6 separate regions of the Mus musculus genome follow, and all the other regions are reported to be linked to region 1. The links are microRNA targets in miRTarBase. Many come from high-throughput screens and were not tested one by one. Region 1 holds a microRNA gene; each other region holds the end of a gene's coding sequence.
What was found. The annotated mature microRNA mmu-miR-466f-3p reads CAUACACACACACAUACACAC and lies in region 1 at 1,776-1,796, shown strand. An mRNA with a match to its seed (bases 2 to 7 or 8) in the 3' UTR can be bound and repressed. Matches are read on the target gene's strand: a 7mer-m8 pairs with bases 2 to 8, a 7mer-A1 pairs with bases 2 to 7 and ends in A, and an 8mer does both.

Region 1 (5,069 bases):
GTGTTCATGTGTATATGTGTATATGAATATACATATACATACACACAAACATACATGCATGCATGGACACACACACACATGAATGGCACTCATTGATCCATTTGTATGATATATAATTTAGAGCTTTAAATATTATGTAGTACTGGGTCAGTAATAGTCTCACTCATAAGGTAAAAACACTTGCCAGAGTCAGGTGAAGAGAGAGTTCAAATACAAAATTTACTTCATGAAGAGATAGAAATCAGACTGGGATGTTTCTTATGTATGTGCATGTGTGCATATATGTATGTGTGCATGTTAATATATGCATATAAATATACACATATAAACTAACCAACACAACATGCACACACACAGAGACACACACAAATACACACACACACACACAAACTCAAAATTGATACTCATCTATCCATTTGAATGATATGTAACTTAATGTTTTAGAGCTATGTATAAATGGGTCAAGGAGAAGTCTCACTCACTAGGTGAAACACTTGCCAGAGTCAGGAGGATCAGGAGTTCAAATTCATGCTTAATTTCACAACGATTTAGAGATCAGTATGCAATTGATGTGATGCACACCAAGAATGTGCATGTGTTAGAGTTGTGTGCATATTCACTTCTCTATATGAATATGCATATACACACATGCACACACAGTAATGCCACTCATATATCCTTTGAAATGATATGTGCCATAGAGCTTTAGCGCTTATGCGGTAGTGATCCAGAGCTATGTCTCAGTTAGGAGGTGAAACGCTTGCCAGAGTCTGGAGGATCTGGAGTTCAAATTCATGTTTAACTTCATGATGAGTTAGAGTTCATCATGCGATTCATGTGATGCCCAACAAGAATGTGCATGTGTGTATAGCTGTGTGCATATTCACTTCTCTATATGAATATGCACATACACGCAAGCACACACAGGAATGGCACTCATATATCCTTTTGAATGGTATGTGACTTAGAACTTTAGAGCTTATGCAGTACTGATCAAGAGCTATGTCTCAGTTAGGAGGTTAAGTACTCTTGCCAGAGTCAGGAGGATGAGGAGTTCAAATTCATATTAAATTCATGATGAGGTAGCAATCAGTCTGGGATTCATGTGATGTCCCCCGTTTATGTGCATGTGTGCAGAAGTGTATGCATGTACATGTGTTTATGTGAATATACATATACATACACACATATACACACACATGCAAACATACATGTAGGAATGGTACTCATCGATGCATTTTAATGATATGTGACTTAGACCTTTGGAGATTATGTATGACAGGGCCAGTGTCAATTCTCACACACCTGGTGAAAACCCTTGTTAGAGTCAGGAGGTATAGGAGTTGAAAATCATGCTTAACTTCATGAGGAGTAAGAGATCATCCTGGATTCATGTGATGCCCCCTATATATGTGCATGTGTGTATACTTGTGTGTGCATGTATATGTGTCTATATGAATATACATATACATACACACCCATATACACACGCATGCACGGAAACACAAAAACATAAACATAAACACAGGAATGGCACTCATTGATCCATTTGAATGATATGTGACTTAGAGTCTTATAGATTATGCAGTAGTGTGTCAATGAACGGTCTCACTCACCAGGTGAAAGTTGTTGACAGAGTCAGGAGGATCAGGAGTTCATATTCATGCTCAATTTCAGTTAGTGATCATCCAGACATTCATGTTATGCCCCTCATGTATGTGCATGTGTGTTTACGTGTGTGTGCATGTGCATGTGTGTATATGAATATATGTATACATACACACACACATACACACGCACGCAACACACACACACACACACACACACGACACTCATTTATTCATTTGAATGATATGTGACTTAGAGTTTTAGAGATTATGTAGTACTGGGCCAGTGAGTGCTCTCACTCACAAGGTGGAAATCTTGCCAGAGTCAGGAGGATCAGGAGTCGAAATTCATTCTCAACTTCATGTTGAGTCCGGGATCAGCTTCTGATTCATGTGATGCCCCCAGTGTATGTGCCTGTGTGTATATGTATGTGTGCATGTGCATGTGTGTATATGAGTATACATATACATACGCACATACCCATACAAGCATGCACACAAACCCAAAACTGCCACTCATCGATCTATTTGAATGATATGTGTCTTAGAGTCTTAGAGATTCTGTATGACTGGGCCAGGGAGAGGATTCACTCACCAAGTAAAGACCCTTGCCAGAGTCAAGATAATCAGGAGTTCAAGGTCATGGTAAAGGCATGATGAGTTAGAGGTCATCCTGGCATTCATGTGATTGCCCCTATGTATGTGTGTATGTGTTGATGTGTGTGTACATGTACATGTGTGAATATGATATACATACATGCACACATAAGACACATATGAGCACATAGACACACAGGAATGGCACTCACTCATCAATCTATGTGACTGAGAGCTTTGGAGATTATGTGTGACTAGGTCAGGGAGAGTTATCACCCATCATATTAAAAATGCTTGTTAGAATCAGGAGGTCAGGAGGTCAAATTCATGCTTTATTTCATGATGACTTAGAAATCTGCCTGGGATTCATGTGATGCCCCCATGTATGTGTACATGCGTGTACCTGTGTGTGGATTGTGTATATGAATATACATATCTACACACGCATAGACATGTACACAGACACACAAACATGAATGCAACTCATCGATCCATTTGAATGACGTGTGACTAAGAGTTTTAAGATTCTGCAGTACTGAATAGGGAGAGGTCTCACTCAGCAGGTGAAATCCCTTGCCAGAGTCAGGTGGTCCTGGAGTACAAATTCATGTTTAACTTCATGATGAGTTAGAGTTCAGCATGCGACTCATGTGATGTCCATCAAGAATGTGCATGTGTGTATAGTTGTGTGCATATTCACTTCTCTATATGAATATGCATATACACGCATGCACGCACAGGAATGCCACTCATATATCCTTTTGAATGGTATGTGACTTAGAGCTTTAGAGCTTATGCAGTACTGGGCCAGAGCTATGGCTCAGTTAGGAGGTGAGTACTCTTGCCAGAGTCAGGAGGATGAGGAGTTCAAAATCATATTTAATTCATGATGAGTAGAGATCAGCATGCGATTCATGTGATGCCCTCCAAGAATGTGCATGTGTGTATAGCTGTGTGCATATTCACTTCTCTACATGAATATGCACATAGCTGTATGCACACATACTCACAGGAATGGCCAGAACTATGTCTCAGTTAGGAGGTGAATATTGTTGCCAGAGGGAGGAGAATATGGAGTTCAAATTCATGTTTAACTTCATGATGAGTTAGAGAACAGCCTGGAATTTCTGTGATTGTCCCCGTGTATGTGTATATGTGTATAGGTACGTGTGCATGTAAATGTGGGTATATGAACATGCATATATATATATATATATATATGTGTATATATATATATATATATACATACATACATACACATATACACACACATATGGACACATACATGTGCACACAAACACACATGGTAGTCATCCATTTGATTTATGCATGCTTAGAGTTTCATTGAGTGTATATTCATGGGATAGCAAAACATCTCACTTACCAGATGAAAACTGCTTGCCAGAGTTAGGAGTCTCAGGAGTGCAAATTCATGCTTAACTTCATGAGCAGTTAGAGATCATCCTGGAATAATGTGATGGCCCCTATGCATGTGCCTTTGTGCATAAGTGCGTGCATGTATATGTGTGTATATTTTATGCATATACATACACACACCTATACACACATGCACACAGACATGCGAGAATGGCCCTCACGGATCCATTTGAATGATATGTGACCTACTGCTTTGGAGGTTATGTATGACTGGGCCAGGGTGAGGTCTCACAAACCACGGGAAAACCCTTGGTAGAGTCGGGAAGATCAGGAGTGCAAGTTCATGGTAAAGGCATGATGAGTTAGAGGTCATCCTGGCATTCATGTGATTGCCCCTATGAATGTGTGTATGTGTTGATGTGTGTGTACATGTACATGTGTGAATATGATATACATATACATACACGCACACATAAGACACATATGAGCACACAGACACATGGGAATGGCACTCATCAATCCATTTGAGTGATAAGTGACTTAGAGTGAAAATGCTTGCTAGAGTTAAGAGTATCAGGAGTTCAAATTCATACTTATCCTCATGAGAGATCAGCCTGTGATTCCTCCATGTATGTGCATGTGTGTATAGTTGTGTGTGCATGTTCATGTCTATATTTGAATATACATAACATACACACACATGTATAAACGCAAGCACACATACACAGACACAGGAATGGCATTCGCCAATCCCTTTGAATGATAAGTGATGTAGAGTTTTAGAGATTATGCAATAGGGGACATTGAATGGACTCACTCACCAGGTGTAAAAGATTGACAAAGTCAGGAGGATAAGGATTGCAACTTCATGCTTAACTTCATTTGGAGATTATCTTGGTATTCATGTGATGCCACCCATGTATGTGCATGTGTGCTTACTTGTATGTGCATTGCATGTGTTGACATGAATATACATAACAAAAACACACGTGTATATGCAAGCACATACACACAGGAAAAATTGCATTCATTTATACATTTGAATGATATGTGACTTAAAGTTTTCAAGATTATGCAGTAGTGGGACAGTGAATGGTTTTACTCACCAGGTGTGAAAGACTGTGGATCAGGAGTTCAAATTCATGCTTTACTTCATGATGACTTAGAGATATGCCTGGGATTCATGTGATGCCCCCTATGTATCCCTATCTGTATCTGTTTCTATTGTGTGTGGATTTGAGTATATGGCTGTACCTATCTACACAAATATATACATGTACACAGACACAAACAGAAACACACACACAAACATCAGTGCAACTCATCGATCCATTTGAATGACGTGTGACTTAGAGTTTTAAGATTCCTCAGTACTGAATGGGGAGAGGTCTCACTCAGCAGGAGAAATCCCTTGACAGAGTCAGTTGGATCAGGAGTTCAAATTTGTGCTGAATTTCATGATGAGTTCATGACCAGCATGGGATTCAT
Region 2 (5,069 bases), not on the chromosome of region 1:
CTTTACTCACTTCCAGCAAGTGTGAAGGCCCAGGCGTGACACCACAGCGACTTCCTGTGTGCTCAGGCCGACCTCATGGCAGTGAGGCTCTGCAGTTGGCACTCAGGTGGTTGAGTCCCTGTGCAGCCAGCCTGTGAGGGATGCACTCAGTCCTCCTCACGTATGAGCAGGAGTTCTGGTTAGGACTGCCTCGTTTACAGCCCGAGTGAGGGAATGCTGAGAGTGTGTTCAAACCTGTTAAGAGGGGCTGGAGAGATGGCTCAGCGGGTAAGAGCACTGACTGTTCTTCCAAAGGTCCTGAGATCAAATCCCAGCAACCACATGGTGGCTCACAACCATCTGTAATGAGATCTGATGCCCTCTTCTGGTGTGTCTGAAGACAGCTACAGTGTACTTACATATAACAATAAATAAAATCTTTTTTTTTAAAAAAAAAAAAAAAAACCTGTTAAGAGAGCTCTGGCACACACAGCCCAAAGTGTTTGCTGCTCCCCACTAGCCAGTATTGGCTATTCTTAGTGACATGGGTATATATACCCTTGTGGGTTTTAAATGTTAATAAAGGATTCCTCTAATCCCACCTAGGACTTAGGAGTGTGTCAGAGCGGAGGGAGTGAGGTATGAGGCTTCTTTGGAAAGTGGGCGGGTTCCCACATGCTTGCCCTCCCTGGGGGAGCCAGGAGTCCAGCTTCCAAGGCCGCCTGGCAGCATGAGAAACACCGCTTCCCTGCTCTCTCTTGCAGCAGCCAACCTACGTCCAGGCGCTCTTTGACTTTGACCCCCAGGAGGATGGCGAGCTGGGCTTTCGCAGAGGAGACTTCATTCATGTCATGGATAACTCAGATCCCAATTGGTGGAAAGGGGCCTGCCACGGGCAGACCGGCATGTTTCCCCGCAATTATGTCACCCCAGTGAACCGGAACGTCTAAGAAGCAAAAGAGATTATTTAAAGAAAGTGAAAAGTTAAGACCGTTCACAAGAATTACACCCACACGCTGCCTGTCACAGCCTGTGAGGGAACGCAGAACACCTGGCTGGGTCCCACGGGTGACCCTCTCATTGGGTTGCAACTTTGGGGGGTGGGGAGGGGTGTTTGATTTCATAATGCCAAAACTTAACCTATTGAATGAATTACAGTTTTTATTACGGAATCTCGCCGCTACCCCTGTTCCCCTCCTGTGTCCTTTTTCTCGTTCTTTCTTTCCTGTCCAGTGCATGATGTTTAAGGCCACATATAGTCCAGCTGATGCCAATAATAAAAGACAAGAAACCAAGTGGGCTGGTATTTTCTCTATGCAAAATGTCTGTGGAGATGGATGGACTGAAAGAGCCGGATTCCTCACACACAGGGGCAGCCAGTGCTTCTGGGGCCCTGGTTGGGGTTCACCCGAGATGCCCAGGGGTACCGCCTCCAGCCTCAGGCCTGGAGCATTCCATCAAAGTTGGAATTAGGGGAAGGAGGCCCACTGTCCTCCCCGGTCTCCTGAGAGTCAGACTGCAGGCCCTCCCCTCTCCCACTGCTTCCCTTCAGGTGTTTTGACGTTTTTTTGTTTGTTTGTTTGTTTTTTTTAAATAGTGCCTTTGTCTTATTTCAAGGGTGTTCATAAATGGTATTTGTACCATTTTTTTTTTTAATAAGTTAAAGACAGTCCAGAGCTTTTCAGTTGATTCGTCTCCTATCCTGTGTAAATATTTTCCTCTCAGGGCAGGGGAAAGAGGACAGAGAAAGGAGCTGGTAGAAGCAGAGAGTGTATTTCCCATCTTGAATGGGCCGGAGGTCTCGAAGCCTCAGCTTTTACTTTGTGAGCTGCAACACTCGCTTCAGCTCAGACTCAGTGGACATCAGAGTCTCTGTCTCCGTGTCTCAGTTATGGTCTGCTCTCTCTATGCCTGGAGCTACTGATCCAAACACAAGACGGTCAGAGGAGCCCTGGCATCCTTCACTCTTATAGGCCTACATGCAGATGGGCTTGAAGAGAATTGGCCTTTCATTTTTCACGCTCGTATTTCCCCACCTGTCCAAGGGTGCAGATAGCAGGATTGTGGGGTCGGCCGCATCTCTCTTGGCAGTGGGTTGTGCTGCCCCTCCCCCCACCCCACCCCTCCATCCCACAAAGCCTTTCGAGGTAGGAGAGACCAAGACCAGTGCACAGCTTTTTAACTCTTGTCTTCTGTGAGTTTTCCGTCCTCTGTAGTCACGTGCCTGCACACCGTTCTCTCCACCCTGCCTCCTTCCCACAGCAGAAGCAGGGCTCCACCCAGGCCTTCCCTTGGAGTCGGTGCATCCATGGGCTGCTAGACTCTTGCGGGTAGAGTCTCCCCTGGACTTAGCATTGTGAGATGGACTCAGCTCAGGGCGCCCCTAAGGCTCGGAGGCGGCCTTCTGGGTCCCCACCTCTCCTGGTTCCGCTGCTGCTCTCCCTGCTGATGATAAAGTAATCTCTGGAGTCACACCTGGGCCATGTGATTGTTTTATTTTGGAATTGGTGTATATCATGAAGCCTTGCTGAACTAAGTTTTGTGTGTATATATTTAAAGATCAGTGTTTAAATAAAAAAAAAAAAAAAACCAACTATGTACTTACTCTGACTTCTGCGGACAGCAATTTGGTAGGTAGTGATTAACTGTGAATAAACGTACAATGAGTTCTTAACTGTGTGTCTTCATTTCTCCCTGATGGTGTTTTCAGTTTATTTTTTTATTTATTTATTTTTTTCAAGGCAGGGTTTCTCTGTGTAGCCCTGGCTGTCCCAGAACTCACTCTGTAGACCAGGGTAACCTTGAACTCAGAAATCCGCCCATCTCAGCCTCCCAAGTGCTGGGATCACTGCCCGTCCTGATTTTATTTTATAGATGGGGTCTCACTATGTTGCCCTGGCTGGCCTCAAATTCGCAGAGATTCTCCTGCCTCTGCTCCCAAATGTTGAAAGTAAAGGCTTAGAGTATGTTAACTCTGGCCGGCATCTCCAGACCCTGTGAACCTAGGACGAGTGATGTAGCTCATTATGTGGAAAATGGTTTAGACAAGAACTCAGAAGAACCCAGAGCTGGGCTGGAAAGCTCCTCTTCCCTTCCGAGCTGAGGGTGTGGAAAGGCTAATCTCTGAGGAAGTCGGTGAGGCAGCTACATGACACAGCCGTGACAGTGGTCTTTTGGGTGAGACAAAGTTGGTAACCACACGGTGCTGGCTATGACGCGGTAAGGGTTGAGGCTTGAACAAAAGAGGATTCTGCCGAGCAAACCACCTGAACTGGTGGCTAGGAGGCTCCCGGGTGCCACCTGCTCCTCCCCGTTGCGGTGATGTGCATGTGAGAGGGAGCTGTGCTTGTCTGGGCCAGCTGAGCAGAGAGCTTGGGCTGACTTTGAACTCCCTTTGTGTCAGTTTAACCCCTTCCTGATTGGGGGGGGGGGTGTCATTTTTTCCCCAGTGCTGAGAACCCAGTGTTTTACACTTGCTAACAAGCACACTCTCCTTGAGCCCCCTCTTTGTTCTTCAGGTGATCACAGTGTGTGTCCTGCCCCTCCCCTGGGTCAGATTCCTGGTGAGTTATCCAGGCTGTGTATGTGTGCCCAGGGCCAGCTCAAATGTGTCTCATGATAAAGGCTAGGCTATGCAAAACCTTGAGGATACCACTAGCCAACCTGGCCCATCATAGTGGCCCTGCTGCTCCCTCCTGGTCCCAAGACTTCATCGAGCACCAGGAGCCAGGTGCAGAGTGAGATCGGAAATGCTAGGATGGACAGCTACATTGGTTTAGGTCATCTGACAGCACCAGCCAGCTGTCTCCTCTTGACACCATTCCTGGGCCTGCTTATGGGCTAGATGGCCTTCAGACCCAATGTTTTTTTTTTTTTTTGTTTTTTGTTTTTAAAGGTTGATTTGTTTATGTATATGAGTACACTGTCACTGTCTTCAGACACACCAGAAGAGGGCATCAGATGGCTGTGAGCCACCATGTGGTTGCTGGGAATTGAACTCAGAACCTCTGGAAGAGCAGTCAGTGCTCTTAACCGCTGAGCCATCTCTCCAGCCCTGGATCTGTTTTTTTGTTTATTTGGTTTTGTTTTCAAAATTTTGGAGATTCTTAAACATTTTTTATTTTATGTGTATGAGTGTTTAAATATATGTCTGTGTACTATGTGAGTATGGTGCCCTACAGGATCAGACCTAAAACTGGAGTTACAGAAGGTTGTAAGCTGCCATGCAGGTCCTGGGAACTGCCTCCACCTCCTAAGAGCCAAGACCATGTTCACGGCCTATACCATGAAGCCCAGTGTGGAGTTCTGGGGTCTCTTCAGCCTCTCTGTGGTAGTTACCATCACAAACCTAAGCAAAACAGGGAATGGCTGTTCACACCTGTAACCCAGCACTCCAGAGGCTGAGGCAGGAGGATCAGGTTGCATCCCAGGTCCCTCTGGGCTACAGAACTGAGAGCTCCATTGTCTGTGACAAAGTTTAAGGGAGGAGGACATTGTTGATGGTTGACATGACAGTCCCATGTGCTGATGACTCTGAGTACTGGGGTTTGGCCAGCCCACTTAAAATTAATTAAACCCAGTCGAGTTGGCCGAGCAGCAGGTAGAAGGGACTTGCTACCAAACCCTCAGAGCCATCTGATGGAAGGTGGGAATGTTGGCCTCTGACTTTTATACACTATGACACTGTGTGTGTGTGCGCGTGTGCGTGTGACTGCCAGGCATGACACACCTTGGAGCACAGTACTCTGGAGAAAAGGCAGATGGGATCTCTGAGTTCAAGTCCAGCCTGCTCCCTGTTATCCATCTCCAGGCCAGGCAGAGCTACACAGTGAGACCTTGTCTATTAAGTACAGGCTGGAGGAGCTAAGAGAGATGGTACTTGCTGATAATCCCAGTACTGAATAAGATGGAGACTTCTAGGCCAACCTGAGCTACATGGTAAGACCAGGGTTCCTAGACCAGCCCTGGCTACATGAAGAGACAAGATCTAGAGAGCCAATTTACAAGGCATACTGTACTCTGTTCGAATAGAGACCACTGAGAGCAGATCCAGCAACAGTCTTTTCAGCACACCTGGCATGGGGCCTAAA
Region 3 (5,069 bases), not on the chromosome of region 1:
TAAAATCCCTGCAATAGGTTAATCACTTTTGATTATTCATCACAAATAATATTGTCATTTCCAATTTTAGATACTTTCTACCTAAATCCATGTGAGTCATAAGAAAGAAAGAAAAATATTCCTGAATTTACTCCTGAATGGTTGAACTGCCCAGTTTAGAGATGGAGTTTTTCCTGATTTCTGCATTTTCTGACCCTGTTTGTTTGTCTGCAGATTTGCAATTTACTCAGTGCTGTGGACGTCGGCCATCCTGATGTTAAAGCTGTGCAGGTGTCCACAGTGGATGCCTTTCAGGGTGCCGAGAAGGAAATCACTATTCTGTCCTGCGTGAGGACAAGACAAGTAGGGTTCATTGACTCAGAGAAACGAATGAACGTTGCTTTGACCAGAGGAAGGAGACACTTATTGATTGTAGGAAGTTTGTCCTGTTTGAGGAAAAATCGACTATGGGGGCGTGTGATCCAACACTGTGAAGGTAAAAAAAAAATGCAATTAAAACTGACTCAGGGGCGATTTGTAAGGAATCACTGGGCCCATGGCCCCTTGGGAGATGCCAGAGGGGACAGTAATGTGGAAGCCCCTTTTGGTAAGGAACGATTCCCGTGTTCTGTATCTTTTCAGGAAGGGAAGACGGATTGCAGCATGCAAGCCAGTGTGAACCACAGCTGGACCATCTTCTTAAAGACTATTTAGAAAAACAAGCAGAAGAAAAACAGAAAAAAAAGGAGAAAGAGAAATCAAAGGATAAATCTCATTAACAACGACAACAAATCTGGGCAAGGGTGTTTCTATTGTAAATTCAGAATCTTTTTGTACTTATTCTTAATGTTTTTCTTTACTCTAAAGTCCCTGATACAAACAAGTTTCATTACTTAAAATAATGTACTGAATAAGTGCATGCGAAAATGTGCTCTTTAAGGTGTGCTATACATTAAGATAGGCAATTGCAGATGCTTGTGTGACAGGCAGATATTTTGCTTGTGAAAGTAACAAGTTTTACAAGAGGCTGGAAACCATTCCTGAGATTATCTGTATGCATAAAAAACACACAACTGAGTAAAAAACAAAAAAACATAAAAAACCCAAAAGTCTGCGTGCTGAGCACAGCTCCCACAGTGGATTCTTCTGACAGACTGGAACCCGTGCATCGCCCCACCATTTTACAGCTAAAACTACTGATAATAAAAAGCTAAATAAAGAAGCACGAGAGGAAAGGTGGACACAGCACTGTCCTTTGCACTGCTGCTCGGTAAGTCAGGTTTCTTCACATCTCCTTGGACAGAACTTACTAGTATATATGTAGTAGAATAAATGGATAAAGTCCTTTTTATTCTAAAGCTAACATGTTCTTATAGAAAAATATACAAAATACAGATTATATAAAAGAAACCAAAGTTACTTAGAAATCCACTATTCAGATAATCATTAACATATTCAGTCTTTTTCTGTATATTCTCTCTATAAATATATACATGTAAGTTTTGAACCACTTGAGTCTACACGATTCTTAGGTATTGTTAATAAAGGAATATATTCATATCCAGGTAGAAAAAAATGTCAGTCTTAATCCTAATTGGTATTATTTTTAGCAAGGAAAACATTTAGGGACAACCCAAGTCATTTAGTATTTATTCTGAGAATCATTTTAGAAATTATTTTAAGAGTACTGAAAATTGTGTCCCCAGATTTCCTTGTAATAAAAACTTCCCAGTCTAGGGCTGGCAGGATGGCGAGGTAAGCAGAAGCACTTTGCTGCCAAGCCTGACAACCTGAGTTCAGCCCTGGATCCCCCACATGGTACATAGCAGGGCAAGCTGATCCCTGCAGGTTATCCTCAGACTCCACACATGCAGTGGCTCACAGCGCCCATCCTTCACAATATGCTAAATTAGTATAGTTTTAAAATGGTTATTTATGGTTATTTATTTATAGTTATAACGGTTATTTACTTATTAAAAAATGATAACTGTCTCTGGAATTCTTATGTGGAAAAAAAAGGTAATTCCAACCACACTTGTGGTAGAGCAGTGGGGTGTGTGTGTGTGTGTGTGTGTGTGTGTGTGTGTGTGTGTGTATGTAGGGGGTAAGGACCACCATGTATGTCCTTTGGTTGGTGATTCAGTCTCTGGGAGCCCCCAGGACTTAGGTTGGTTGACTCTGTTGGTCTTTTTATGGAGTTCCTATCCCCTCTATGTCCCTCAATTCTCCCCCCCCCCCACACTCTTCCATAAGACTCCCCAAGCTCTGTCCAATGTTTGGCTGAGGGTCTCTGCATCCATTTCATTTAGATGCTGGGTGGAGCCTCTTAGAGGACCAGGTATGGGGAGAGATGAGGAGAGAGGACAAGGAGAATAAATGGAAATTGACAGCCTGAGGGTGGGGGCACCTCTAGGACATACGAGAGACCTGGGATCCAGGAGTCTATGAGGATGACTCTAGCTGAGACTCCTGGCAGTGGGTGATATGAAACAAAGTGCAGGCACAAAGATGGAACAGAGACTGAGAGAATGGCCAACCAATAACTGGCCCAAGTTGAGACCCATCCCATGGGCAAGAACCAATCCCTGACACTGTTAATGATACTTGGTAATGCTTGCAGACAGGAGCCTAGAATAAATCTCTTCTCTTCTCTTCTCTTCTCTTCTCTTCTCTTCTCTTCTCTTCTCTTCTCTTCTCTTCTCTTCTTGTCTCTTCTCGTCTCGTCTCGTCTCGTCTCTTCTCTTCTCTTCTCCCCTCCCCTCTCCTCTCCCCTCCCTTTTCCCTTCTCTCCTCCCCTCCCTTCCCCTCCTCTCCCCTCCCCTCCCCTCCTCTACTCTTCTCACCTTTCTTCTTTGTTTATTTTGGGTTTGTTCTTTTTTCCTTTCTTTTTATTTATTTATTTATTTATTTATTTTTTTGACATAGGGTTTCTCTGTGTAGCCCTAGCTGTCCTAGAACTCACTCTGTAGACCGGGCTGGCCTCAAACTCAAGAGCTCTACCTGCCTCTGCATGTCTGTCTTTTAATTTTTCAGTTGTTTATTTTTATGTACATGATGGTTTTGTTTTCATGTATGTCTGAATACCACTAAAACCAAGACTATAAAATAAAGAAACAATGTGAAAGCTGTAAGAAAAGCACCAACTCCCAGAGGGGAGCTCTTGTTCTTGCGAAGTACCCAGGGTTTGATTTCCTAGCACCCACATCACTTCCTCAGGCACCAGGCATGCATGTGGTACAGACAAAGCAGTCATACACATAAATATAAACAAACAAACAAAACATAAAGTTTCTAGGAATAAACTTAAGGATAGAACATTGCGATGAAAATTTTACAACACAAGAGGAAAGAATTTGAAGACTCAAGACAGGAAAATCCCCTATGCTGATAGGGTAGCAGAATCAATATTTTTTTAAAGATTTATTTATCATTATATGTAAGTACACTGTAGCTGTCTTCAAGTCAGATCTCATGGATGGTTGTGAGCCACCATGTGGTTGTTGGAATTTGAACCTTCAGAAGAACAGCCAGTGCTCTTAACCACTGAGCCATCTCACTAGCCCCTAGAACTAATATTATAAAAAGGCTTGTCAGTGCAATCCTTATAAAAAAAAATTCCAGTGACATTCTTTAGAGAGTCTGAAAGAGCAATCCTAAAATCAGTATAAGACCACAAGAAAGAACAACAGAAACAACAAAAAGCCAAAACAGTCTTAGTAGAAATCTTGGTTCTGGAAGTACTGCAATCTCTGAGTTAAAAATATACCATAGACCACAGTAACAAAACTATACGGCACAAAACCAGACATGAAAATCAGTGGATTTCTATAGAGGACCCAGAAATATACCCATATGGTTCCAGCCAACATAACAAAGGTTCAAAAATATATATGAGAGGAAAGAGTTTGCTCAATAAATGTGCCGGGAAAGTGGATATTGATCTGCAGAAGAATAAAACTTGATCCATATCTCACCCTATACTCAAACCAACTTTTAAAAATGAATCAGAACTGGAGAGATGGCTCAACAGTTAAGAGCTCTGACTGCTCTGAGGACCTGAAGTCAATTCCCAACTACACATGGTGGCTCACAACCATCTCTACCATTACAGATGCCCTTTTCTTCTGTGTCTGAAGACAGCTGCAATGTACTCACATACATTCAATAAATAAATAAATCTTTTTTAAAAAGTGGATTAAACATATATGTATAAGACCAGAAACTACTAAAGGAAATTATCAGAATATAGGAAGGACTCTCTGAAAATGACCCCAATTAACTCAGAAATAATTGCAAGAACTGACAATGCAAGATCTGAAATTAAAATGCTTAAGCAAGGCAAAGGAAGCAATGAACAGAGTGAAGAAACAACCTACAGAGTAGGAAAAGCCCTGCCTGCCTCACATCTGTTAGGTCAATCTCCAGAATCTATAAAGAAGTAAAAACGACAAGCCAGCAAGGTGGCTCAGTGGGTAAGGTGCTGGCCACCTATCCTACATGAAGAAAGAAGCAACCCAACTCCCACAACTGACCTCTGACCTCCATATGCATGCTGTGACACCCACTCCTCTCCAAAACACCAAACATAACCTAATAGGACTTACAAAAAAGCCAACTCATTTAATGAAGAAATAAATTGGATAATTCTCAAAGGAAGAAAAACAAATGGCCAGTAAATGCATTTCAAAATGTTCAGCATCCTTAGACATGAATAAAACGCAAAGTAAATTAACATTTAGAGTTCAGCTTCCTCCAATCATTGTCTATCATTAAAAAAAAAATCCAAAAAACAACAATAACAATAAGAAACAAAATAACAAGTGCTGAAGAGCCCCTGTACAATTCTTTTCTTTTTTGAGATGGAGTGGGTTTCTTTGTGTAGCCCTGGCTGCCGGAACTTGCTCTCTGTAGACCAGGCTGGCCTTGAACTCACAGAATCTGGCTGCCTCTGCCTTCCTAGTGCTGGGATTAAAGTAGTGCTCCATAACTCCCTAGCAGAGCCCCTGTACACTTCTGGTGGGAATATAAATGAATGCAGCCAGGGCTGGTGAGATGGCTCAGTGGTTAAGAGCACCGATTGCTTTTCCAAA
Region 4 (5,069 bases), not on the chromosome of region 1:
GTTGAGCTGAAGTGCTGAGGTTTTCCCATCAGAGAGCCCACTCTGTCCAGTCCCCAGCTTTTCTGTCTGTGTGTCCATCCTCTGTCTTTTCTTCATTCCCTTGCTGTCCCCGTCACTTCCATTCTTGCAGCTCTGCGTGGGCCGGAATATGTTACCATACTGGAGATACCTGGCTGGGTTCAGACCCTGGCCTTTCCCATTTTCTAGTTGTGTGATTTTAGGCAAGTTATTTAACCTCTGTCCCTCACTTTTTTCATCTGTAAAGAAGAAATAAGAGTGTACAGTTAAGCCGGGCAGTGCTGGCGCACGCCTTTAATCCCAGCACTCAGGAGGCAGAGGCAGGCGGATTTCTGAGTTCGAGGCCAGCCAGGGATACACAGAGAAACCCTGTCTCGAAAAAACAAAAACAAACAACAAACAAACAAACGCAACAAAAAAAGAGTGTACAGTTAATAGAAGTATTTTGAGAGTGAAACAAGTCATGCATTTAGAATGCCATAGAATTATTCCTTGTCATAAGTATATTTGATTTCCCTTAACTGTCAGAGCAGTAGGGAAGTAAGCACTGTTAGCATTTTGTAGAAAGAGAGAAAGGCTCTTAGGAGTGCAGTGCTGCATCCTAGACCATTGAACTAGGGAGCAGAGCGCAGCTGTCACCTCCAGTTCCCTCTCACCTTTGACCCCTATGCCACCCAGCTCTGAGCACCAACTTCTGTGTCCCAGGCCTTTAATGTGATCAACGGCGGCTCTCATGCTGGAAACAAGCTGGCCATGCAGGAGTTCATGATTCTGCCAGTGGGAGCCAGCTCTTTCAAGGAAGCCATGCGCATCGGCGCTGAGGTCTACCACCACCTCAAGGGGGTCATCAAGGCCAAGTATGGGAAGGACGCCACCAACGTGGGGGATGAGGGTGGCTTTGCACCCAACATCCTGGAGAACAATGAGGGTCAGTGCTGAACATCCTGGGGCAGAGTGCCTGAGTGCCCCTGAGGTGGGGGGAAAGAGAGGCTGCAGATACAGCCATACTGGAGTCTCAGGTCATCTCTTGCTCCTCTCCCAGCCCTGGAGCTGCTAAAGACAGCCATCCAGGCAGCCGGTTACCCGGACAAGGTGGTGATCGGCATGGATGTAGCTGCGTCTGAATTCTACCGCAACGGCAAGTATGATCTGGACTTCAAGTCACCCGATGACCCTGCCAGGCACATCAGTGGGGAGAAGCTTGGGGAGCTGTACAAGAACTTCATCCAGAACTATCCCGGTGAGACGGCCGGGTGCTCCCCCCGCCCTTGTCTTCTGCGGTTACCTAGCATGGCTCTCAGCATTTGGCTTTGTCACAATTCCTGTCCTTCCCATCTTTAGCTCATCCGTAGCCTCCATTTAACCTCTGCTACCTGTCACCCCTCTATCAGGCCCCTGTCTCTAACCCCATCTGTGCTCCCAACTCCCTACCAGTGGTCTCCATTGAGGACCCCTTTGACCAGGATGACTGGGCCACATGGACCTCATTCCTCTCTGGGGTGGACATCCAGATTGTGGGAGATGACCTCACGGTAACCAACCCCAAGAGGATTGCTCAGGCTGTGGAGAAGAAGGCCTGCAATTGCCTGCTCCTGAAGGTCAACCAGATCGGCTCCGTGACGGAGTCCATCCAGGCGTGAGTGCCTCCTGACTCAGGCCCCCCCCCCCCCCCCCCCCCGGCTCCAGCCACTGCTGCTGCTCTTCCATGGGTGCCTTTCCCAGGGCCCCTGACCTACTCAAGCCTCAGAACCCCTAGGCTATGACTGACCCCCAACTTGGCTCTAAGACTTTTGCCATTGTGGCTCTGCCATGTCCCTTAACCTCCCTTCTGTTTTGTGTTCTTCTGCTTGCCATCTTCTGACCACTCTAATCCAAGATCAGAAATCTCTCCTCCTTCCCAAAGAACTTAGTCACTGCCCAAACAAAGGGAAAGTTCTATCTTGCCTGCCCCTGACTTTCTTATTGAGGTGGTCACATAAGGTCTCATCAAATGCCTTTCCCACACAGCTGTAAACTTGCACAATCTAATGGCTGGGGAGTGATGGTGAGCCACCGCTCTGGGGAGACCGAAGACACTTTCATCGCTGACCTTGTGGTGGGACTCTGCACAGGACAGGTACTCGGGGTTTCTCTCTACTGAGTATCTAACCAAGTTTCCTTGGTCACCTTGGTATCACTTGGGCCATCTAAGTTGGATACCACTACAGCCTGCTCTTTTGGGGCCCAAACCAACCCCTCCAAACCCTTTTCCCACCTCAGATCAAGACTGGTGCTCCCTGCCGTTCAGAGCGTCTGGCAAAATACAACCAGCTTATGAGGTACAATTTGTGCAGAGGCCTAGACCGTGGGGAGAGGAAGGCGCTCCTGGGTTAGAAAGTAGGAGCTCTGATTTTCTTTTTGTATTGTAGGATTGAGGAGGCTCTTGGGGACAAAGCTGTCTTTGCTGGAAGAAAGTTCCGTAATCCAAAGGCCAAATGAGGAGCTGGAGACTCCAGGCTTTCACAGGAAAGACACAGGCCTTCAAGCCCTTCTCCCAGAAATAAACACTGCCAAACCAGACCATGCTGTGTTCCTTAGGAGGGAATGAATGACAAGCTCGCCAGGAAGGACAGGGCTGGGGTGGGGTGGGGGTGGGAGACAGGGAAGAAGGCAGAGAATATCATGTGACCTGCTGTGACAAGGAAGTAAGGGATTTGAAAGCTCAGTGGATGTAGAATAGAGACTTTCAAAGTTTGGAATGAAGCTAGAGAAAGCAAAACTGTATGTGAAAAGGAGCTGGAGAGGAGGTGGAAGTGGCTCCCAAGTAGACAGCGGTGGATGGAGAGGGGCCGAGGAAGGGTCCTGGTGCTCCCAGCATTGGAGGGATCTGGATCAGGCTGCAGCCAGACTGAGTGCTTCTCAAGGATTAAAGGATAATGAGATCATTACCACTTCAGTGGAGCTTGTGAGGATCTGAAGTGTTCAAAATACTTGACAGTATTAACCCACAGAAGCTTTCAAACAGTCCTGTCAGCCATTTACCAATCTATCCCCCTTTTACACACCAGGAAGCCAAGGCACGAGTTGAGTATCTTACTCAACACAGCAGAGTTAGCAACTCGAAAAGCTAGGACACAAAATGCCTGGCTTCAGCCTTAACTGGGTGTGGTGGCTTATATCCGTAATCTTAGGCCTTGGGAGATGGAGTAAGGGCCCGTCTCAAGATTCCAAGCTTAGGGGCTTCAGTGGTTAGGGGCATTTGTTGCTCTTACCGGCACCAGGCTTCAGTTCCCAGCACCAATGGCAGCTCACAACCATTGGTAACTACAGTTCTAGGGGCTCCAATGCCCTCTCCAGAGCACCACGGGCACCAGGCACGCACACGGTGCAGATCCTTGCATGCAGGTAAAACATTCATACACATAATCTAAAAAAAGAAACATCGTGCTGGCTTCCCGGTGAGTGCCCAGTAGGCATGAGGCCCTGAGTTCAATCTAGTATCACAAGAATAAAATATGTGAAAGTGTCACAGTAGCAGTGCTAATAATTGGCCATCTTTAGCTTAAACAAACAGCAACGTTATACTGTTGAATCCACATTTATGGAGGTAATACCCACAATTTCTTCTCTCTCTCTCTCTCTCTCTCTCCCTCTCCCTCTCCCTCTCCCTCTCCCTCTCCCCCTCTCTAGAAAAGGTTTCTCTGTGTAGCCCTGGCTGTCCTAGAACTTTCTCTGTAGATCAGGCTGGCCTCGAACTCACAGAGATCTACCTGGCTTTGCCTCCCAAGTGTTAGGATTAAAGGTGTGCGCCATCAATGGACTAGTATCCACATTTCCAGGTACAAGTCAGAACACTGGGTCAAACAGTGTTTATTCAATGTAAAGTAACCCAGGCCCACGGGGAAGAAAGTTCCAAGGGTAATAGAGAATAATACAGATTAAATACACATTTTTACACACACACACACACACACACACACACACACACACACACACACACACACCCCATACATCCAAATTCCAGCAGTGATAAACACTTGCTTCTCCTCCAGCCTGAGTGACAGCTGGCAGGGCCTCATAGGTTAGAAATGGGGCTCCAGAATGGGTCCTGATAGCAGCAGCCTTGTCCCTCCATGCCCCTGCCTTGCTGGAGGTCAAAGCAAGGTGGGCGGGATGCCTAGGAGGTAGTTGGCAACTCTTCACCACTCTGCCGCAGGCGTTTCTTGGCTCTGATCTCATTCATGGCCTCCTCTATGGACCGTGTGTCCCGCTTGTTGGCCACAGGAACTAGCAGCAGAGGGGAGAGTGGGCAAGACCTCAGTCTCTGCTCCCCTCCCCCAAACTACGTTCTCCCCCATCCCTCCCCCAGCTCCTGCCATGGCTCACCACAGCCATAGGTCTTGTTGGCCTGTAGCATGTGGGCTGCATCTTTGGCTGCTCCTTTGCCAATAAGATGGCTATACTTGTCCTTGTAGTCGCTGGCAGGACTCACAACCGCAGGTCCCTGCTGCGCTGCCTCTTCCTCCTGCTTCTGAGCCAGCTCCTAAGGGCACAGAGGTAGGGTACCGGTGCTCAAGGCCCTGACCCAGATGGCCTCTTCCAGGTGATGGTTACGGGCTCCAGGGCCTGCCAGGAACAGCTCACCTTTAGCTTCCGCTTCTCCTCAGCCTTCTGGGGGTCCCACTCCTCTCCATGACGGTAGGAGTCTAGCTCTTCATCTGAGGGTGCAAACTCCTGGAGATGAAGAGAAAGGTAGAGTCAAGATCCAAATATATGAGGGATGCCACTCCTCTCAGGTGCAGGGATAGGCTGGGGCGGGGGCAGGGGGTGGCGGCGGCAGGCTTTTTACCTTTTTGAAGATCATGACATAGCGACAGTCATCATCTTCTCCAAAGGAGAAGGATGTGAGGCCAGCCACCTCTACCACATCATGTCTGTAAAGAGAAGGCAGGAGAGTAAGTGAGCCATGAGGAGTCTGATCTCCACTGGTCCCCACTGGCTCATTCACGCCCTCTATTGCCCATTTCTTGCCACCCCAACCCAGAGACACTCACAGTATGCTCCGCTCTATC
Region 5 (5,069 bases), not on the chromosome of region 1:
TCTTCCAAACCCACCGTTCTCCCCTCCTCGTCTTCAGCCTACTTCCCTGGGCAGTTACCAAGTAGTTAATCCAACACCTTTTACTGCTCACCGACAGTTTAGGAATTCAAGTGATTTAACAGACTATTGATAACAAAATCAATTTTTTTCTGGTTCCTGTTAGGTCATTTGGATCCTTTATAATACTGCTGCCATTTACAAATTTAGGAAATTGATAAGGATGCTGAGTAAATGGTATTTTTTTTTCTGTGAACAAAACAGAATGTTTCAAAAAGTCACTGGATTGTATCAGATTCTTACCAGTTGGTCTGCTTAGGGACACTTTATCAAGATACACCTGCAGGGAATATAAACTGAAGACTTGTGATTCATTCGATCATTTTTATTGTAAAAAAAAAAAAATCTTAATCTGCCACCTGAGAGCTGGGAGAGCTTCCACCTGTGACCATTGAGCCTTACATTGACTTTACATTCAGTTCTCATACAACTTTCAAAGTTTTTTTTTTTTTTTTTTTTTTGAGACAGGGTCTATTATTATGTAGTTCAAGCTGTCCTGGAACTGGCTATGTATGTAGACCAGGCTGGCCTCAAACCCAGATCCACCTGCCTCTGTGTCCCAAGACCTAGGACTAAAGCTGTGTACCCACCAAGCCTGAGTTACACAATATATTTGGTTTATAATTTCTCCTCCCAGATGGTCTCCAGTTTCCTACCCACCCAATTTTATGTTCTTTCTCCCTTAAAAAAGAAAATAAAAATAACCAATCAGTAAGATAAAAATATCAAACCAGCCGGGCAGTGGTGGCGCACGCCTTTAATCCCAGCACTCGGGAGGCAGAGGCAGGCGGATTTCTGAGTTGGAGGCCAGCCTGGTCTACAGAGTGAGTTCCAGGACAGCCAGGGCTGTACAGAGAGACCCTGTCTCGAACCCCCTTCCCCCCCCCCAAAAAAAAAATCAAACCCAAAACAGTGTATTCGACCTTGTGCTAGTCAAGTCCTGGGTATGGGCATTTGGAGTTTGGTTGATGTACCTAGTGACACTCTTAAGGATTTTGAGTGAAATTAAGTATTCATAGTGAGTAAATCATTTTCTCTGAAATAATTTTTATATAAAAATCATTGGGACAGTGTATTTACATGACTGAAGTGCTTTAGTCATCTGGGCATTCCATAAAGATCATCAGTGTAATAACACCATAAAAGTTCATGGGACTTTTTATAATATTAAAATTTGTCATCAGTGTTAATAAAGCAGGAGGAGAGTTAACTATTGGAAATTACAACTTCCTCACTATTAAAAACTTCCAAGAACTATTCCTTTGAAATTAAGTAGTTTTAAAAAACAAAATGAAACAAAAAACCAAAAACAACCCTCTATAATCTTAGAGGTCTAATTTTGTTTTCTTGTTGACAACCACCCAAAGGAAATTAAAATTCCAAGACCCCAAAAATCTTATCTGTAAAATGTTAACAATCATGTGATATTTTAAGTTTCAAGGGGCTGAAGAGATGGCTTAGTGATGATCGGCACTAGCTACTCTTTTCAGAGGATGTGGGTTCTAATCCCAGCACCCACATGACAGCTCACAATTTTGTCACCCAGAGTGCATCAGGCATGCATGTGGTTTCTAGGCAAAACATTTATACACATTTTTTTTCAAGTACTTTACACTGTTGCAGACATTTTGAGACAGTGACGTAGAATCTTTAGCCTCACTTTCAGGATGATGGCTATTGCTAGCTGTCTTCAACGAGGGCTGTTATCACAGTTCAGTGATGGGAAGAATATTGCTATAACTACTTGAAAGCACTTATTCTGGAAAGAAGTCTCTCTATGCAGCACAGGACTGTTGTAAATACTATAGAATAAACCTAAGAGCTATGGCAGCCTTTGGAAAGGGATACAAGACATATATAGCTTTTTAGAAGAGATACCCTCCCCTTACTATTTATAAACCTGTTTCCACGATAGGACAGCTCATTTCCACGCAGGGTGTTGGTGACCTGTCTCTGTGCTAAGTGTCCACACACACAGATAGCGCCAACTCTCTGCTCTACCTCTTCTGCTTTTGTCTGAAATTGTTTTGTGTTGTATAACTGTACATGTGTTAACCATCAGAATGTTGCTTTTTGCTATTTCTGAAAGCTGTGACCTTTGTCAATAAAGCACTGAGGCTTGAGCGTTTTATATGCAAGAAGCATGTTTAGGAAATAAAAGACTAACTGTGCTTAGGAAATCAAGCATTTCCGGTTGACCTACACACTTCGTTATTTTTATCTTCAGGCTTTTTGTTTTGTTTTTGGTGAGGTGAGGTGAGGGCAGCAAATGGATTGCAGAAGGTAAGTTAAGGTAAGAGGATTTGTTACTGTAACAAAGCCTAAACCGGCCTTACAGGGAGGGACTCACAGATCAAGACCTTTTTAAAAAGAAAAAAATCATTAAAATATTTAATTTTATTAACAGAATATTTACATTTGAGACCTTATTTAATCATAGTGAATGCTCCAAGTTTAAAAAGCATTAGGCAGTAACCACACACAAGATGAAAACAGTGTAAACTATACAATACTTTATGTACATTTTTACAAAGTAACACTTTTTTAAATAATATAACTGGACACAAAAATATACACTTTAGAGAAATTCACATCAGTAATTGTATAAAGCTCTCTTCTAGGGTCCTGAAAATTTAGGACAAACATTAGCTCTGTAAATAAAGTGTTACTGTGACAGTCCTGAAAGGCCACTATATATATTTATCTACATATAGATATCACATTGACATTTTCAAGGCTACCAGCTTTACTATATAATTTTTAGATTATGTATTCAAGTGTTGAGGTCCTTATGATTATGCAAATATCAAAAGAATAGTGGTATAAGAAGCAGAACAGATTTAAACAGATTGAGCCAGATGGCTAGGCTCTGACCACCCCAATTTGAATTCTAAGTGGCTGATCTTTTCATTCTTCAGAACAGCCGTGAATAATGCTTTAAATAAAATTATGGCAAACAAGCTTGAAACATGATTCTGGTTTTCTACAATTTTCACAAGTTCTTTTAAATGCAAACAATTCTTTACCATTTCTTTTCTAGTGCATCTGCATTAAGGCTTTGAATTATTTGACCCAAGATTTTACAATGACTCAGGTTTTACAAGGTTAAAGCAAACAGGTCCATAACCATCCTGCCTAGTGTCGCTGAGTCAGCACGAGCAGGTAAAGGCTCAACACCTAAGGAAATGGCAGAGACGGAGTTACAGATAGAGCTTTAATTAAAGATGTGTAATAAAACAGTTTAGTGGCAAGAGAGTGGTGCTAATATAAACAAAAGGTTTCTTTTTGAAAGAAAGTGTAACATCTTTGGAAAACTGTCCGGTTCTTTCTTTAGTTCCCACGGAGTTCATGCAAGTATTTCTTAAGACAGTCTTAAAGTACACTGCAGATGGAAATGGAATGTACATCCAGAGCTACAGGTGAAAACTAAGACCTGGGTGCTGCGAGAGAGAGAAGTCTTCCTGATTTCCGTCACACATTCGTGTCCTGGAGTAAAGGTTCTTTGGCCTCTCCTGGCGCTTGTGTACTGTGAGGATGGCTGTGACTGCCACAGTGCTTCCTCCAACTGCTGGACCTTAAACTTAAATTAGTGTGTTCCGGAATAAACAAGGCAACGAGCAGAGCCAGCAGTACCGAACAGGCTCCAAAGAGGAAAGGGGGACCAGGGATGATGGAATTCTGAGGAAGAAACAATAGTTAATGTTTTTTGCACAAATACTCCCCCCAGCCCCCGTCCCCAGCCTCCAATGTCTCAGCAACTGTCTGCTCAGATTTTCTTTTTTTTTTTTTAAAGTCAATGCCTTTATTGAAGCAATAGCTATAAAATCACTTTTCAGGAGAAAAGGTATTTTTATTCTTATTGTAAAATCCTGCCAACAAAAAAATGGCAAAGTGGGCTGGAAAGATAGTTCAGTGGTTAAGAGCGCTGACTGCTCTTCCAGAGGTCCTGAGTTCAATTACAGGCAACCACATGGTGGCTAACAACCATCTGTAATGGGATCTGATGCCCTCTTCTGGTGTGTCTGAGGACAACAATGTGTACTCAAACCTTTAAAAACAAAAATCAAAAACTGGCAAAGTAACTTGGATAACTGTGGGTGGCTTTTAGCACAGAGCCTAAACTACACATGTTAATAATACACCTGTAGAATCGTGTTTCAAAAATAAATACAATGCCACTAACCACAAAAATAAAACATTTTAGCCCAAATCATATTCATTGTGGGCAAAACCCTACAGAAACCCTGTTTCTGTTGTATATGGCCCACAAAATTAAATAGGCTTGCCTGGGGTTCAATTCTTGCTTAATCGAGAAAACTGCAGAGATGTTAGTATTGGCTCAGTGGTCCATGTGGTTTGGGGTTGGTAATTTCAGTTGGGAAATAAAGCAAGCAAGTCAACAAATGTCCACCGTGCGTACATTCCATGTGGCCATAGATGGCAGCTGCCCAGCACTCCAGAAGTCAGAAGGAAAGAAAGTAGCAGGGTGGAATGGAGATGTGGCTGCCATGCCATTAGGCACAAATTGACAAAATGTGGTTTCAGGTGATTTTTTCATTTTAGTTTTTGCAAGATGATACTCGGGAAGAATAGTCTCTTAGGCTTTAGTTATTTTTTTTTTTAAGATTTATTCATTATTATATGTAAGTACTGTAGCTATCTTCAGATACCCCAAAAAAGAGGGTATCAGATCTCATTACAGATGGTTGTAAGCCACTGTGGTTGCTGGGAATTGAACTCAGGACCTTCGGAAGAGCAGTCAGTGCTCTTAACCACTGAGCCACCTCTCCAGCCCCAGGCTTTAGTTTTTAAGATTACTTAAGGCCTATTCATGCTAGAAAGTTTTACACAAAAGCTTTTGTTTTCAAAAATATCCTTTAATCCAGCCAAATAAATAGAGTATGTGAATGAAGAATTACCTGTTCAAAGTGATGCTGAGGGCTTGTGTTTGTCCCCAGGTCTGTCCCTGTGATTGGCAGTTCTTTAAGTTCCACATGGAATATGTAGAAAAT
Region 6 (5,069 bases), not on the chromosome of region 1:
AAAGTCACGCAAGCACCAGGATCCGAGTTAAGATTCCCAGCACCCCAATAAAATCCCAACATTGAGTGCCATCACCTGTAACCCTAAGACAGAAAGGGAGACGTGTATTTGTGTTTTATAGGCCCCTGGAGCTCATTCACCAGCCATGAGCTGAATCCATACGTTGTAGGTTCAGTGGTAGACCCTGCCTCAAAACACCGAGGTAGAGAGGCATCAAGGAAGACACAGTGCAATAACCTTGACCTCTGACCTCTACGCACATGCACACTCACAAGTATCTGCTTATATTCACCTATAAGAACACATACATAGACACACACACACCTGTCCCATCAGCTTCCTCATATATAGAACGGAAATAGTAGAAGCCAGGTCCTAGAGTCCTGGGAGGTTCAGTGACTCTGCAAGGTGACATTCACAAAGCAGTTCACAGGCACTTATTTAAATTGTGACTATGATTTCTGTGAGGACTGATTGTGATTCTCTGGCTCTCTCCTCTCCTACAGTGGAAGAGAACAGCTTCTTGCCATCAGGTGAGTGGAGGGAATGAGCGAGCCCCGGCCTGGTTCTTTCGCTGGCTCCTCTGTCCCTGTGGTCATGACTGGGGCCTGATGTGAACTCCCCACCTCCATCTCAGCAGCCCTCCCCGAGAGCCCGGTTGCCCTGGTGGTGGTGCTGACAGCGGTGCTGCTCCTCCTGGCCTTGATGACGGCAGCCCTCATCCTCTACCGGCGCCGACAGAGTGCGGAGCGTGGGTCCTTCGAGGGGGCCCGCTACAGTCGCAGCAGCCACTCTGGCCCCGCAGAGGCCACCGAGAAGAACATTCTGGTGTCTGACATGGAAATGAACGAACAGCAAGAATAGAGCCAAGGGCGTGGTCGGGGTGGAGCCAAAGCGGGGGAGGCAGGGGCCCCAAGGGCGTGGTCGGGGTGGAGCCAGAGCGGGTAAGGCAGGGGCCCCAGGTCAGCAGGCCCCCATCACCCATCAGCCCAGTTGTCTTTGGATGGCAACCCTTGGGAGTTGCTACTGGGTGCCGGGGGCATAGCTTGCCATGGGGTGGGAGTACCCAGCCTACCATAGAGGCTAGGCTGAGACTTGGCAGTGGGTCATGTTCCCCTTTCCCTTGGGCCTGGGATCGTGTCACCTGGACCTGGACCCCATGGCAACTGGAGGCAATATGAGAAGGGACATGAGCTTATTCATGTCTTTTCCTCCCCAGATCCCTGAGCCTAAACCTGCTGACCTGCAGCCTAGGATTCTTTCCTATCTGTAGGCCTGGAAAGCCTGCCCCGTCCCTTGGGGTGGCTCTCTGTCACCTCTCCTACTCGGCTACATCAGCTCTGTCTCCTCACCCTGCCCTCGTGCCTTTTTTTCCACCCAGTGCCTCCTTCTGAGCCATGGCCCTGGGACTTGGGTGATCTCTCTCTCTCTCTCTCTCTCTCTCTCTCTCATTCTCTCTCTCTTTCTCTCTGGGTGGGGGTCAGCTGAAGAGGCTGGCCAAGCATCTGTCACTCCTGTGCCTGCTGGAATGGACCTAGGGTATGGCAGGAGGGAGCCTAGGTGGCTCAGGTGTACAAACCAGGGCACCGGTGTGGTGTCTGCTGGAGTAGAGATGGAACTTCGGAGAGACACCTTATCCACTCACAGGGTGTCATCTCCTGCTGGTCAGGGGAGGGCTCTGTCCTTGAAAGAGTCCCCTGTGGGGACCAAAATAAGTTCCCTAATGTCTCCGGCTTCTGGCTCTGGCTTGGAGAGAGGGAAGATGGTTTGGAGGGGGAGGGGCGCTGGTGAGGCTGTAACCTGGGACAGCACCAGGTGCTACCATCTGGTGTGGCCTAGGAGACCAACTCATGGAACCACTCAGCACCTTTTTCCAGAGGAGAGTCCCAGCCAGGATGGAGAGTGCCAGTCCCCGTGTCCCAGTGCAGGACGATGTGAACAAAAACTCAAAGCGGACCCTCTATTGTAGTTCTTGATTCTCGAAATGTGCTATTATTGTTTGTCTTTTTTTTTTTTTTTTTAAAGAAGGAAAAAGAGAAAAAGAATAGCAAACAAATAAAAACCTTCCAGAGGCTTGAGAAGTCAGCGTTTGTGCCTCCTTCTCTGCAGAGTCTGACCCCCGCAGCCCTGTAGGGACAGATGGCAGCTCTGTCCAGTTGTTTCTGTAGCCTGCCATTTTGCCTCTGAGCTTTTGGCTCTCCTCAGGAGACAAGTCGTCCCTGCCTACAAGCGTGTGAACTTGGGCACCTGAGCTCATTGTCCCATCAGCTTGAATAGGGCGTAGAGGATCTCCTAGGGTTGGGCTGTCGGAAAGATGCTTAAGGATGTGGTGAGTGTCCTTACCAAGTGCCTCTGAGTGCATGCAGTAAGCACTCCATAAATGCTAACTGCTACTCTTATTTCTAAAGTTTTTTTTTATTACATTGTGTGTGTGTGTGTGTGTGTGTGTGTGTGTGTGTGTGTGTGTGTGCGTGTGTGTGTGTAGGGTGAGCAATATGAATACCTGGACCAGAGTGGGAGCAGAGGGTCCCTAATGTCTCAGAGGACCGACAGGGTGACTGCAGGAGTGTGGCTGAGTGGGTGCAGGCCAGGACGCAGTGGCATGGTGGATACTGTAAGGAAGGCTGCCAGTGGGAATGGCTGATCTGATCTTTAACAAGTTCATTGTAACCGCGGTAAGGGACACAGACAATGGATGGGAGATGGGGGAGGGGAAGCAGAGGAAGCCCTTGCAATCATTAAGACCTCAGAAGATGGTGGCTGGTTTGGCCTGGAACACTAGCGGTGGTTTAGAGGCGTTGTGCGTTCTCAGGCTTACCCTGTCCAGGACTTTTAAAATCTTAGTTCTACTTGTTTTGGATAGGCAGTGTGGTCATGTGGTTCAGAGCCTAAAGGAGTGAAAAGAATACATAAAGACACCCATTGAATGTTCTCGCTCCTTCCCTTGCCCATCCACCCTGGACGCTCCTGCCATGATGGTTTTCCGAGTCTCTTTCCAATGTTTGATTCAGGCTGGGGGAAGCCACTAGGAAACATGGGATCTGGATTGCCCAGGGGGACAGCAGATCAGCTGCTTTCTGCCGGGATCAGATGTGCAGGATGAATGGGTGGGACCGCCCAAGACAGAAGAACTCTAGAGAGTCCGTGAGCTGCATTCCTGAGTGTGTGTGTGTGTGTGTGTGTGTGTGTGTGTGTGTGTGGGCTCCTCCAGCTGTCCCTACTCTGCAGCTCTCACAAGACCCATGGGAGATAGGTAGGCCAGGCATTCCGGAAGGGACGGAAGGGACCGTCAATCCAAAGTAAGGTCCTTAATGATTAACCCACTTTACCTTCAAGTGATTTGCTCTCCAAACAGAGGCCAGAGTAGCCCCTTTGTGAGTCGAGTGCTTTGCTACTAGCTGTGGCTCAAGGGTTGCTCTTCAGGCTGCTGGGAGCGGCTCTGAGGGCAGGGATGCCAGTGACCATTGCCCTGAGAGAGAAGGAAGCAGCGTGGTAAAAAGCAGTGTGAGCTCTATTGGGTCATTTGAGTAGTTGAAGGAATGAGGCTCCAAATGTCCAGTGCCACCCATCTATTTGAGAGAGAGACAGAGAGAGAGAGAGAGAGAGAGAGAGAGAGAGAGAGAGAGAGAGCATGTGCATGCCAGCAGCTGACTGGGTAAGCAAGCCTACTGACCCCAGCAGCCCCAGAAATCTACCTATCTGTACCCCCAAGAGTTACGAGCATAGGCAGCTGCTGCTCCTGGGTTTTATGTGGGTGCTGAGGATTCGAACCCAGGCCCTCACCCTTCCAGGGCAAGCATGAATTGACTCCCCAAACCTTGACAAGTTAATTTTTCCTTTTCTTTCTCTGGTGACTGGAGTCTTGCCAGAGGCCACATTCAATCCAAGTTTGTCCTACAGCCTCTTAGGCCTGGGGGCTCCCCAGAGAGTATGTTCTAAGCCTTCCTGCAGAAGAGTTAGGGAATGTTCCCGTAGTTCTCTGAGTGGTCAGGAAGAAGGCTCTGGACCTGGCCACTTGCCCTCTGGCTCCCAGCCAGTTCTAGTTTTAGAACATGTGACAAGGACTTCTATCTTCTGGTGGGGCTCAGTTCAGTTGACCACGAAGCATCTCTTCTGTGTGCCAGGTTCTCTGCGGAGCCTGCTGAGTGGCAGATGGCCTGAGACCTGTCCCAGGCCTGAGCGAAGGGCACTGTCTACCAGGCACGGAGCCCAGCTTTCCCTTGCAGGTCTGAACTGGCCCAGCTTCGAGCACCTGAATATTCAGTGACAGCTCAATGAATCCATGAATGAATGGGAAGACAGGGCAGCTCTCCAGAGAACAGCATTCCCCTATCTCCTATCAAAGCAGAGATGGCCTCCTCCCAGGTACCCTGGCAGAGCAGGCCTGGCCCAGTGGGCAGCTCTCTGAGGCCACAGGGGCAAGGAGCCAGCCAGCCTCACCACATGGCTATCCTGGAACAGAGCCGCCCAAACCTGGTCAAGCTGCCTGGACCAGTGGGGCAGGAGTCTCTGGCAGACCTGAGGTAAAGAACTAGCATCGTGAGGGAAGGCAGAAAGGAGACACTCAGGGAAGTCAGAAGAGGACAAATGAGGGATTGAAGAGGGTCCAGCATGAGAAGAAAGTGCCCAGATCTTCCCGCAGGCCTGACTTTCCTTAGGAGGGTGTTGCCAAGAGGCCTCAGGGAACTGCTGACTTCAGTCTTTGGCTCCCATCAGAATCAGCTCCATTGCATCAAAGGGGAGGGGCTGGCTTTAACCCTTCCTTGTCTGAAAAGCAAGTAGTTACAGACACTAGAAAGAGGTCTGAGCAACTGCCAGGCACCAAGGTTCAAGGCCATGTATTCAGAGAAGCCAAATACTGAATTTATCAGTTGGCTGGTGGCTTTTCTGGGGATCCCAGGCAGTGACACTTTTCTAGTTCCATCCATACTGTCTTACTTCCAGACACCCCTGAGGTCTGTGGGGTGTCTAGCTGTCCATAGGGGAGACACCTGGCCCTCTGTTACTGTGGGGTGTCCAGCTGTGTGTGTGCGTGTGTGTGTGCGTGTGTGTGTAGACACCTGGCCCTC

Region 2: the mRNA of Grb2 is a reported target of mmu-miR-466f-3p. Seed matches in the 3' UTR shown: 7mer-A1 at 2,487-2,493 and 8mer at 2,522-2,529.
Region 3: the mRNA of Zgrf1 is a reported target of mmu-miR-466f-3p. The part of its 3' UTR that is shown has no 7-base or 8-base seed match.
Region 4: the mRNA of Spag7 is a reported target of mmu-miR-466f-3p. Seed matches in the 3' UTR shown: 7mer-m8 at 3,940-3,946.
Region 5: miRTarBase lists Mfsd14a as a target of mmu-miR-466f-3p. Seed matches in the 3' UTR shown: 7mer-A1 at 2,628-2,634.
Region 6: miRTarBase lists Mrc2 as a target of mmu-miR-466f-3p. The part of its 3' UTR that is shown has no 7-base or 8-base seed match.

What each region holds. Positions count from the first base shown.
Region 1 is chr2:10,470,232-10,475,300 of GRCm38, forward strand. It overlaps Mir466f-3 (microRNA 466f-3), which reads left to right and starts at 1,722; the gene lies at 1,722-1,815. All of the region lies in intron 10 of Sfmbt2 (Scm-like with four mbt domains 2), which reads left to right. It overlaps Mir669d-2 (microRNA 669d-2), which reads left to right and starts at 1,413; the gene lies at 1,413-1,498. Mir297a-2 (microRNA 297a-2) reads left to right here and starts at 2,023; the gene lies at 2,023-2,112. It also overlaps Mir466o, Mir467c, Mir466b-1, Mir669a-3 and Mir669k.
Region 2 is chr11:115,641,629-115,646,697 of GRCm38, reverse strand. It overlaps Grb2 (growth factor receptor bound protein 2), which reads left to right. Exons shown (of 6, transcript NM_008163.4): 6 at 744-2,653. The coding sequence ends at 929. Among named protein-coding and RNA genes, the nearest start is that of Slc25a19, 16 kb to the right of the region's middle.
Region 3 is chr3:127,616,046-127,621,114 of GRCm38, forward strand. It overlaps Zgrf1 (zinc finger, GRF-type containing 1), which reads left to right. Exons shown (of 26, transcript NM_197997.2): 25 at 214-475; 26 at 622-1,978. The coding sequence ends at 758. Among named protein-coding and RNA genes, the nearest start is that of Gm40147, 10 kb to the right of the region's middle.
Region 4 is chr11:70,659,937-70,665,005 of GRCm38, forward strand. Spag7 (sperm associated antigen 7) reads right to left here. Exons shown (of 7, transcript NM_172561.3): 3 at 5,052-5,069; 4 at 4,847-4,931; 5 at 4,642-4,731; 6 at 4,384-4,540; 7 at 3,833-4,284. The coding sequence ends at 4,175. It overlaps Eno3 (enolase 3, beta muscle), which reads left to right. Exons shown (of 12, transcript NM_001136062.2): 7 at 724-946; 8 at 1,061-1,258; 9 at 1,453-1,654; 10 at 2,026-2,134; 11 at 2,278-2,336; 12 at 2,427-2,577. The coding sequence ends at 2,496. Among named protein-coding and RNA genes, the nearest start is that of Eno3, 5.3 kb to the left of the region's middle.
Region 5 is chr3:116,628,746-116,633,814 of GRCm38, forward strand. Mfsd14a (major facilitator superfamily domain containing 14A) reads right to left here. Exons shown (of 12, transcript NM_008246.2): 11 at 4,977-5,069; 12 at 2,419-3,735. The coding sequence ends at 3,529. Sass6 (SAS-6 centriolar assembly protein) reads left to right here. Exons shown (of 17, transcript NM_028349.3): 17 at 1-2,241. The coding sequence ends at 69. Among named protein-coding and RNA genes, the nearest start is that of Trmt13, 17 kb to the left of the region's middle.
Region 6 is chr11:105,349,062-105,354,130 of GRCm38, forward strand. It overlaps Mrc2 (mannose receptor, C type 2), which reads left to right. Exons shown (of 30, transcript NM_008626.3): 29 at 507-533; 30 at 638-2,084. The coding sequence ends at 864. Among named protein-coding and RNA genes, the nearest start is that of Mrc2, 59 kb to the left of the region's middle.